2 linked regions of the Arabidopsis thaliana genome follow. The protein of the gene in region 2 purifies or fractionates together with the protein of the main gene of each other region. This does not show direct contact. Each region holds a gene or a part of one and is shown on either strand. Other genes may lie near its edges.

Region 1 (4,275 bases), on a different chromosome or scaffold from region 2:
GCAGGAGATAGTGACTATAGTAAGGAGATTAGCATTCAAACATCAAAAACAATTAGACAAGTGAATCAAACCCAATTGATCAAAACGACAAGTTAAATGCAATCGAAACAATCACCTCTGAATTGTTACACCGACGAAGCAAAAAAACAAAACAGTGAATCGAGATACGCACAATCATTTCAATCAAATTAGTCAGTAGCAAAACTACTCAATAAACACACAAAATTGACACAGTGCACCTACAAGAAGGATCCCCAAATAAGATTAGCAGTAACAAAAAAAACAAATCGTCAAAATCATCATCAAACTTAAATAGAAGAAGGATCACTTGGGGATGAAGATCAATTAACACGATCTAAGAAGGACAAAATCAAAAGGGAGAAAAATCCAATCTTACCAAATAAGAAGCAAAACCCAGATAAGGTTTGGCGATGGCAGAAGAAAGAGAAAGAGATAGTGATTAAGGAACAGCCCGGAAACAAAGGAGGGAAGGAAGACCGCTATAGAGATTTAGGAAGCGGTGAGGAGATGATAGAAAGAGAGAGAGAGAGCAAGTTCTGGAAAAGAGAAGCGTTAAAGAAGATGAAAAGGAGAGAGAGACTCAATAAGAAAGGCAAAACAAATATTATAAAAGAAGGCAATAGAAGAAGCAAAGGGCAGAGGCGTGGCTGATCACAGGCTACTCTCGATCTAATATATAGTCCCAACAAAATCTTATGCATTTTCCTTTACATTTACTCTATTTTCTTTTATCTTCACATTAATATTTCTGATACTTACTTAAAATACGTTAAAACGGTGTCGAATCAGCAGATCAAACGGAACAAGCGGAATAAATATAAGTTTTCGTTTATAGAAAACTAGTTTTGAAATGATTGTAGATAAACAAAACAGAAAAAAGTTAATTTCAATGATATCGGTAATGCTATTCTTCGAGGATTATTTGGTTGTGTTCAACAAGTAATTTAATCATATATATAGGCGGACTAGAGAAAGGAATGCTTTGAAAACAAATATTTGGTGCGGAAGGTATGTGATTTGGCAGAATTGTCTTGTGTTTTTAGATTGTGTTCAAATCTTATGTAACATAGGCCGCCTTTATACATCAATACGATGCCAAAGAAATGTCAAAGCAAATAATATATAGAAATCCAACTAAAAGCTTGGAAGAAACAAATATTAAGGGTTTCTTTTTAAAACCTTTATGCATTGTATTTGGTAGGTGAACTTTGAATGACAAAATATGTGACATGGTAAAAGATTTTTGATGGCGATACACGTTTGACGTTTACCTTAGTCCTTAAGCTGCATGTATTGGTTTAGGCTTTAGACGTTTAGTCTCGTGTTATCATACATATGTTATAATCCGATGCGTGGTGCAAAATCCGCATTAATTGACCGGAAATAGGAGAAAATGAGCTAGTAGGAAAAAAAAATGTTATCATCAGAAGTTTGTATATGAAAACCCGGAAAGAAAAAAGCTTCTCCAAAGACTGGTCCGCCACGTATGACGTATCGTTTGTGATTCCGTTGGTAGAATCGTAATGCAAAATTATCCAAACACGACAAAGACGATACACACGAATTTGCTTGAACAATAATAAACAAGGTTCTTTGAAGAAAAGAAAGTAATAAACTATGCACGGCACTAGGAGTAGAAATGATTGAAACCCTTTAACAAATTGAACTCATCTTGTTGCCGAAGTTATACAGATAACGTATGGAATATGAATGGGTTTGCGATTATTAGTTTATTGGACTTTCAGGCCCTTTTTAGAGAAAATTAGTTTCCTCCTCCCGAAATAGTCCTGCATTATGGACCACATTATGGGCCCATATTGAGGCCCACCTTAATGGTACTTATATACTATTTTGTACGGAACTGATTGATAGACATTAGACACGGAGACATTGTTGTCGTTCTTCGCAGACATTTCGATTTTGAAGACAAATCACAATGGGAGAAGCGCCTGCCCAGATTCCGACGAGTTTCGGCCACGAGCTTAGGGCTTGTCTTCGATGCCGCCTCGTCAAGACCTACGATCAGGTCTGGATTCTCTTGTCACTTGTGATTTGCGTGTTTCTTCTCTTGCGAATATTTTTTGCCTAATCTGGTTTCTCCAACAGTTTAGGGATTCTGGATGCGAGAACTGTCCTTTCTTCAAAATAGAAGACGATCATGAACGCATCGTCGATGTTACAACTCCCAACTTCAATGGGTATGGCTTAAATTCGAATCCTTACTTTGAAAATTTACATGGCACTGTTCATAAGTCTGTCTCTCGTACTTGTCGTTACATTGAAATTTCTGAACCTAGTCTATACTTATGATTAAATCGTATAGTCTATACTTATTGAGAAGACTTATTGTTGGTCGCTAATCTCTCGTTTTTTTGTTGAATGAGTCGTTGCAAATTGTGAAATCACTGTGGTGGATATGACCATAAAGTTTGCTGCTTTACGTTAAAATGAGTTAATAGTAACAGAGATGATGCTAGTGTTGATTATACTTGTCATTTGTTGATGTCACGTCCATGTAATTATGTATTGATATAATGAATGTTTTTGCAGTATAATCTCTATGATGGATCCACGCAGAAGTTGGGCAGCAAGATGGTTAAGAATTGGTATGTTTCAGCTCTGTTTCCTGATCATCCTCATTGTCTTTTAGAGTTTACTATACTGTGTAGCTTCTTCTTTCCGTTTCCTGTTATTCTTGTCTCACCATTATACTTTATAAATGGGGATATTAGTGCTGAATTTAACTGTGTTGTCTGCATCCATTTGAGCGGTAGCTGCATTCTGATTTGCTGTGTGTTTATGGCTTGATGACCTGATGTTGTATTCCCTAATATTGCCAGCTTTGTTTCAGACAGAAGAGAAATAAATCTAACACATTGCAATATCTTGTTTCCAGGGAAGTTTGCTCCTGGTTGCTACACTCTTGCTGTCTCAGAGGCACTCCCAGAGGAAATGCAGGTAAACATATTTACTTCTCTTAGAAACCTAAGAAGGGATTAATAAGCAAATCCTTAGCTCTGTTTTCGTATTGACTGTTCGTCTTTTTCACATGTATGTGGCGGAAATCCGCTGGCAGTTCATATGCCAACAAGCACGGGTGCAGTACGTTCCACCCAAACGTATTTGAAACCTTTTGCAGGTTGCAGCAAGTGTCTCCATATTAGCATCTCTGCAAGTCGTCAGTTTCAAGACAACTTAGTCCGATGGAGGTTATGAATGGAAGTAGTTAAGTTTTATGTACTTTGTTTCTGATTTCAACTAATATAGAGAGATTTGATCCTCTTATTGTTATCAAAAACTCTTATTTGATCCGGAAGATAGAGATAGATTACATTTTTTTTTTCAAGTATGGAATGGATTTCTTTTCCTGTGATATTCAGTACATTATTTGAATTACAAAATGAAGAAACTTTAAATTGAGCACCTAGCAGAAATGTGTGGTACCAATAATTCACAGAAAAAATGTCAACTACGCAGTTGATAGAAGAAGTGGCTCCTTAATCAGGCCAAGAGGGAAACAAGGAGAGATATTTATTGGTTTTTGGAATATGACCATTGAAATTCCCAAAGAACCGAAGAAAACTATGGGAAAATGTATAAAATGCCTGTCTTTATACCAAAAAAATATAAGACCCACAAATTCATGGATACAAAGTACAAACAAACAAATTATACACAAGAATCATCTTCCGATCCAAGGTATATTCTTCTGCTAGAGTAAATCATGGACGTAACATGCATAATTAACAATGGTTACTTAACAACAAGTAGTAATGAAAAATTGAAGACGTTCAGTCTATTTGGGCAAGAGGCAAATATTAATTTTCGTTACTATACGTTTATTTTCTTGGCAATTTAGTTTAATTTTGTTTAGGTCAAAGGCAATTTATTTTGTTATTAAAAAGATAAATTAGATTTTTTTAGAAAATAGCCTTTCTATATTAATTTTAAATTCGAGTTCACGTGGCGGTCGCTACCAAACTTCGCTAAACTTTAGTGCTTTACTCCAAAACCCAGAGTCCATCACACAAGTCCAAGCCCGAAAACAAGGGTTCTTGCTCCGACACGACAACAAATCCAGATTTTGAGCTTAGGTAAACTCCTAACTCCCCTTATACTCTCTTCTTATTCAATCTACCTTGTTTCTATGCCTTGAATCCAATTCCCAGACACTCTGGTTGCTTGTAATCTATGTTCGGTTGAGAGTGAATCTGTGTTCGATCGTGTGTATTAATACCTCCTTCTTTGGTTCGG
Region 2 (6,361 bases):
TGAATAGGGTCCTATTTTTTAGTCAGATTTCTTTAAGCAATTATAGCCCTATTTTTCAAAAATTATACAAAAGGCCCAAATCTATACATATAGTATAAGAGATAAACTTTTTTTTTAAATGGGTACATGATCCCACTTTTCTCTTAGCCGGTCCGGGCTACATAAGAATTTATAACATCTTGTTTCGTTTCTAAGTTGGGGACCTTATATATATGGCCACTATTTATCCAAAAATACGTATTAAGATAGATATATTTTCTCTTCTGATATTTCTTGTAAAGATACATATTAGCTAAAAGTTTGTACAAAAATGTTTTAACATTATACCTAAGATGTTGAAGTTGTATCCCTACTTATGCAAGGAAATGCGCACTTCATCCTAATTCTCAACTTTTGTTTGTGATGGAATACTAAAAGATGCCGACAAACAGATCATGTCAAATATATAAATTTTGTCGACTTTGTGGAAGAACCTTGTTAGGTAAACAACTCATTTGACCGTCTATAAACCATGTCAAATATCTTAACTTTAATTTGATTTCTTTAATATTATGCCCATTTCATACAAATCAGTTAAATATTTGATAATTTAGATGAGAGATCCAGGTTCGCTAAGACTTCATAGGGTTTAAACAAGAACAGGACTAACAATACAAAACTCAGAGGTATTGTGATGGTCACGGAAACATCCATAACATAACAGGTCATAATAGTATAAAGATGATCATTTGTGAGTAAAGAAGCAGAGAACAGCAGAAAATGTCAATTATCCGAAAACAGCAAAAAAAAAAACACAGAGAATGGATCTTGACTTGAGAATTTTTCGCACTCTTTCTTTTGGCCATTTTCACCGCTTAACAAAATCACACACTGCCTTCGCGAACCTGAGAAAAAGATTTTTTTAGATTGGTCTGTTTGGTGTTTTGCCTATAACTTGGTAAAATGATGCTAAAACGCAGGCAGCTTAGTTCTATACCTTGGGAGGAGATTTGGACGGAGACCTCGATCTGGACCTGGACCTGGACTTTGATCTCGACATTGCCCTGAATTGGTAAAAAGCAACATGTCACAATAATCACAGGAGAAATAAAAGAACGAATAAAAGTATCATGATGGTTGAGAGAAAGAACACAAAAGAAGGGCAGAAGACTTGCCTGGGGGGACTCTTCTTCTTGTCGGGCGATGGCGATCTAGATTTTGAAATCGATCTGGAAAGGGATCGCCTTGGTGATTTACTGCAATAAAGATTGGTAAACACACAACTCCATTTTTAGGTATTGAAAATGGGAGATATACAAAGGTTCAGTGATAACAAACGTAGTACCTCAGATCCTTCCTTGGGCTCTTGCTCCTGCTAAGGCTGCGACTGCGGCTATGGCTGCGACCACGGCCTCGGCTACGACTTCGACTTCTGCTTCTGCTTCTGCTTCTGCTTGGGCTTCTGCTTCTTGATCGGGAGCTTTCATATTTCTTAACCTGCATATGAGCAGAAAACACAGACATAAGATGAATACAAACTTGTGAGATCATGATTTTAAATTAGCCTAACCAATTGAGACTACAAAAGTCATAGATGTTTTACGAATGGGAAGATAGAGAATGAAGCATCAAACGAAGTAAAATGTTGAGAGACTTGAGAGATAACTAATATCTGTTAATTATGGTCAAAGAGGGAAAAAAGAAGAGACTGCATAGAGAAATGGTACCCGGATAAAACCTCTAGCCCAGGGGTTTCTGAACTCTGTGTCATCAAGTTTCCTTATCTGAAATCACAACTATTGAACATCAGTAATTATACAAACCATAGCATGCAATACAGTAAGAGAGACGCACAGAGTTCACTTACTGCATACTTCATGTCATCATAATTGGTGTAGTCGACAACACCATAAGTTCCTGATCATATTATTATAAATAGTCATGTTGTGGGAGAAAAACGTAAGTATAATATCCCAAACAAAACTCTGCTCAAAGCTGAAAAAGTAAATATATTGCTAAGTAAGTATGCATCAGAAACTGTAAATTAACGTACCATCACTGTCTCGAGTCACCTCAGCAAAGCACACATCACCAGCTTTCCGCATATGATCCTGAAAAAAATGGATTTTATATGAAAAACAAGACTAGGGAGTAGAAACCAAAATGTTGCAGCAAAACATTAAGTGTCATCAGACCTTCAAATCTTGCCATGAAGCAGATGATGGGAGCCCACGTACAATAACTGCAAAATAGCCATCCAAGAATCAGAAGAAGTGAAGTGAAACCAAATTTTAATAATACCAACTTCTAGCAAGAAACACAAACCTCGGAATTCAGAGTGTCGTGAGACGCCAAACCGAGCTGATCCACCACCACCACCTCCACCACCATAGCCGCTGCCACCACCACCGTAGCCACCACGACGATCACTTGAAGACTGTCCTCGACCACCATGTGCAAGCTCAACCTGCATTCATAATGATTAGAAACTATTGAAAAATAAAAAGAAACATCACAAGGTAATGTAAAACAGCCAGAAAAGTTTAGACTCTGCTGTAAGGATATGTGAAGCATAAGCCCATATTGTCTGCTGAAAAAATAGCAAGGAAGTAACTGATTACCCTCAAGCGACAGCCATCCAAATTATAGCCATCACGGCCCTTGATGGCATCTTCAGCATCCCGAGAATGCTCAAACTACAAACATTCAACAGAGCTTGGTTCAGCGAAATTTAAAGTTGGTTAGGAACATGTAATGTAAGCGAATACACTTACCTCAACAAAGCAATAACATGGAGGCCGAGGTGGAACCTTCAATTCAATATCGACAATGCGGCCATACTGCAAACAAGAGCATTAAATATGAATACAAAAGATGCTCAAGAATCTTCACTGTCTTATAGGGATAACGATTCAAGAGAGGACCCGTAACTGAATCAAACAAATAACCAAAAACTGACCTTGTAAAAGATATCTTCAATCTCATGTTCCCTAATGTCACCGGGCAAGTTACCAACATAGATTGACCGAGAAAATCGCCCACTCATTGTTTGCAAAGGTTAAAAAGGGGAAACTGCACATGAGAATAAAAAGGAAACGAAATAAATAAAGGATCAAAATTTACTGCTATAGACAAAGAACCTCCACTCAAACAGCTTTCGACATAGCCCCAGCATCAAAATGAGACGATGATAAGAAAAGAAAAAGAAAACATGGTAAGACCAAAATATATATGAAGCAAACCAAGTGAGAGCAATCCTGGGTCAGAGCAGTGCTCCACAAGCTCCAAATGCTTATTTGCTCCAATATGCTCCAAAAGCTATTTAAAATATTGAAATATATATATTTCTCCAGATCGTTCCCATGAATCTCCATTAATAATAAAAACAATATCCACATTGATCTCCCCAATCCCTCTCTATATCCCTATGAACCATTGCAATGCTCATGTTCCAAGCTCTTGCCATCTATCATAAAGAAAGCATGTGTCATGACATCATGTAACATAGACTCATGCATCTACCTTGTTCTTCTTCCTTACTCAAACCATTATTCCTTTCAAACATACAACAAAAATTCTACTTTTAACGACTATTTAAAATACAGATCGACCCACAAATCATCGTTACATAGAACCTCTTGGTAAATTATGTTTCTTTTCAATGCAAGTAAAAAAATTTCCTCAGTAAGGACAATGAATAAAAGACAGATTCTAACAAACATAAGACCTTCTGAATTTAATCAAAAATCACCTTAAACAACTCAAGAACATTCGACATAAAAAAGCTAATTGAAGTCAAGGAAACTACCCCCACGACCATAGCGAAGTATATTCACCTCAAGAGAGCCAAAAGACCAACAATTATCAGTGAAATTAACGAAATTGAAACACCAAACCATCGAATTCATAAGAACACGGAAACCAAATTCAGAGAAAACAACAGATAGATAGAGATAGAGAGAGGGAGAGCGATAGAGAGAGAGAGGTGAATGAATCCGTACCGGGGGAAACGCTACAGCGCCGGAGAAGATTTGGTCTGAAGCCAACAATACTCGGAGGAGAGCTTAGTAGATGAGAGAGAGAGGTCGGCCGTGAAAATTCAAACTAGGGTTTCTACTTTATCCATTAGTAGGGGTCGTCCTTAAAACTTTCCTGAAATACCGGAATTACCCTTTAGTTGATTCACTCAGTTCTTTTGTGTTTTTATTTTTCGGTCCCTCTTTAAGTAATCTGTTTGTCAAATAACCTCTAAGTTTTTGTTTTTGGTCAAATAGAACCATTAAGTTAATAACAATATGATTAAAATTATGTAATGCGTAATGGTTACAAAAAGTTTTTGTGAATAGAAACAATTGTTTCTCTTTAATTAGTTTCCAAAATTGAGGTGTAACCTATAACTAACCCAAAAATAAAACATTACATTTTTAACATTCTGTTGCAATTTGCAACCTGGACGAAGATTCATCTACTTCACCTGAAACATAGACACACAGCTTCAAATTGTACGTTCTTTTCCTTCCTATTTTCTTTCTCCTATGGTTTTAGTTTTCTACAGGATCACGAAACTTCTTCTTCCAAAAACTTTAATCGCCTGTTCAGCTGCATCTAGCTCAGTGAATCGTCTCTCTGCTCGGGATGGAAGACTAGACCGGCACTCGCTTGCCCCGGTACTTGTCAAAGAACTACACATCACATAAAAAAAAAGTGTAAAGTAATCGCATTAGCCAACAATTGGCAGACTATGCAACAGAATTACTATTAAAGTTAAGCCAAACTGAGAAAAGGCCTAGCAACTCAAGATCATCAGAAACAAAGAGAGAATTATCAACTGTAATTTGGAAAGGCAAAACTGGGAGTCATTATGAGTTTTGTATGTGTTGTATTCGAGATCTAAGAATTTCATGCAAAGTTTGCTATAGTTGTTTGCAATTGGACACATACCGATCTAATATATGGTTGCTGAATAATCCAACCCAGAACGGGTATCTTCTGAGCAAAGACTGCCAAGGTAGGCCAGAAGCCACTGCAAAAGCAAAACGTTTTTAGTATCAGTTTACATTTCCTCAAGCAATACCAGTAAAGAAGAAGAAAATAGGCAAAAGTACCTGAAGAGTACGAAAAAGCCATAGGTCTCCAACATCATTCCCAAGATAGGCCACCCGATGATAACAAAGAAGAAACCGACGCCAAAAGAGATGGTTCCCTGAGTGGATAACATATAAAGCCAAATGAACACACATAGATGACATTAAGTAGAAATCTGTAAAAATCCAGCAGAGACTGGCCCAAGCTATTGATAATGTAGACAAAGACAGAAACAAACCTTATAATTTTGACGCTTCATGAAGAACTGCATGGTAGACTTGAAGCCAATGGTTAGACTAACCCCCGAGATGAAAAGAATCTGAGAAAATATGAAAAGAAACAAGCTCTCATACTAGTTCTGTACGTGTATGCAATAATAGTGGTCAAAGTATAGAAACAAAGATACATGAGATACTTACATTTCCCATGGCAAGTAATCCCTTATCAAAGACGAAGACTATTCCCAAAAACGAGAAGAATACGCCAAATCCTGTCAGGCCTAACCCGATTTCTGTTTCAAATCACATAAGAAACGTTTAAGTATATCCAAGTACAGCATGAGTAACTTCGTAACCTGGTAATAAGATATACTGAAACTAAATGGGGTTCCGAACAACAACATGACATTGAATGATCTACTAACTCAAGAACGTGATAAGCAAAAGAAGAATTAAGTATAACTAAGTAACAGGTATGTCTTCCAATAGCAGAAAATATTTATAGAACTCACAATGTGAACTTACTTTTCCGGTCATTCATTTCAAAGGACATCATTGTTCCTGTAATCAGCTACTTCTACCTTTTGCTGCCATGGTAAAAACATGTCGAAGTTCAGCAATTAGACCATTGAAAGTTGAAACTACAACATTAGTGTTTACAAAATGTGCCCATGGCTTAGCCATGACTCTGATATACATACATAGCCCATAGAGATTCAATATTCTCGTATCAGTTTTGGTAACCAATCAATATTTGGAAACATAATATCGATTTGACGTCGACTAGACAGATGCTACATACAGAATCAAACGTATAATCCTAACAATACTTGTACAATCAAAAAGAGCCAGAGATAGAGAGAGAGAGAGAGAGGGAGCGCGAGAGAGAAAAGAGAGAGGTGAATGACTCCGTACCGGGGGAAACGCCGCAGCGCCGGAGAAGATTTGGTCTGAAGCCAACAATACTCGGAGGATGAGAGAGAGGTCGGCCGTGAAAATTCAAACTAGGGTTTCTACTTTATCCTTTAGTGAATTACCGGAACTACCCTTAAGTTGATTCATTCAGTTCTTTAGTGTTT

Evidence for each region.
Region 1: the proteins of SR34a (region 2) and AT5G08565 fractionate together in Arabidopsis thaliana (co-fractionation; one large-scale study listed by BioGRID). This does not show direct contact.

What each region holds. Positions count from the first base shown.
Region 1 is NC_003076.8:2,774,007-2,778,281, forward strand, and holds AT5G08565 (Transcription initiation Spt4-like protein), read left to right. Parts: upstream 1-1,891; 5' UTR 1,892-1,957; coding exon 1,958-2,047; intron 2,048-2,127; coding exon 2,128-2,219; intron 2,220-2,571; coding exon 2,572-2,627; intron 2,628-2,861; coding exon of another isoform or gene 2,862-2,917; coding exon 2,918-2,979; intron 2,980-3,097; coding exon 3,098-3,148; 3' UTR 3,149-3,468; downstream 3,469-4,275. UniProt on the Arabidopsis thaliana protein: May regulate transcription elongation by RNA polymerase II. May enhance transcriptional pausing at sites proximal to the promoter, which may in turn facilitate the assembly of an elongation competent RNA polymerase II complex.
Region 2 is NC_003074.8:18,329,332-18,335,692, reverse strand, and holds SR34a (SER/ARG-rich protein 34A), read right to left. Parts: upstream 4,185-6,361; 5' UTR 3,981-4,184; exon of another isoform or gene 3,052-3,980; 5' UTR 3,026-3,051; coding exon 2,939-3,025; intron 2,820-2,938; coding exon 2,754-2,819; intron 2,676-2,753; coding exon 2,601-2,675; intron 2,447-2,600; coding exon 2,305-2,446; intron 2,222-2,304; coding exon 2,175-2,221; intron 2,091-2,174; coding exon 2,033-2,090; intron 1,897-2,032; coding exon 1,847-1,896; intron 1,764-1,846; coding exon 1,707-1,763; intron 1,477-1,706; coding exon 1,325-1,476; intron 1,236-1,324; coding exon 1,155-1,235; coding exon of another isoform or gene 1,076-1,154; exon of another isoform or gene 1,044-1,075; coding exon 977-1,043; intron 885-976; coding exon 864-884; 3' UTR 539-863; downstream 1-538. Other genes in the region: AT3G49420 (Got1/Sft2-like vescicle transport protein family), read right to left, coding at 4,623-4,661, 4,921-5,002, 5,085-5,182, 5,303-5,383, 5,484-5,575, 5,808-5,838. UniProt on the Arabidopsis thaliana protein: Probably involved in intron recognition and spliceosome assembly.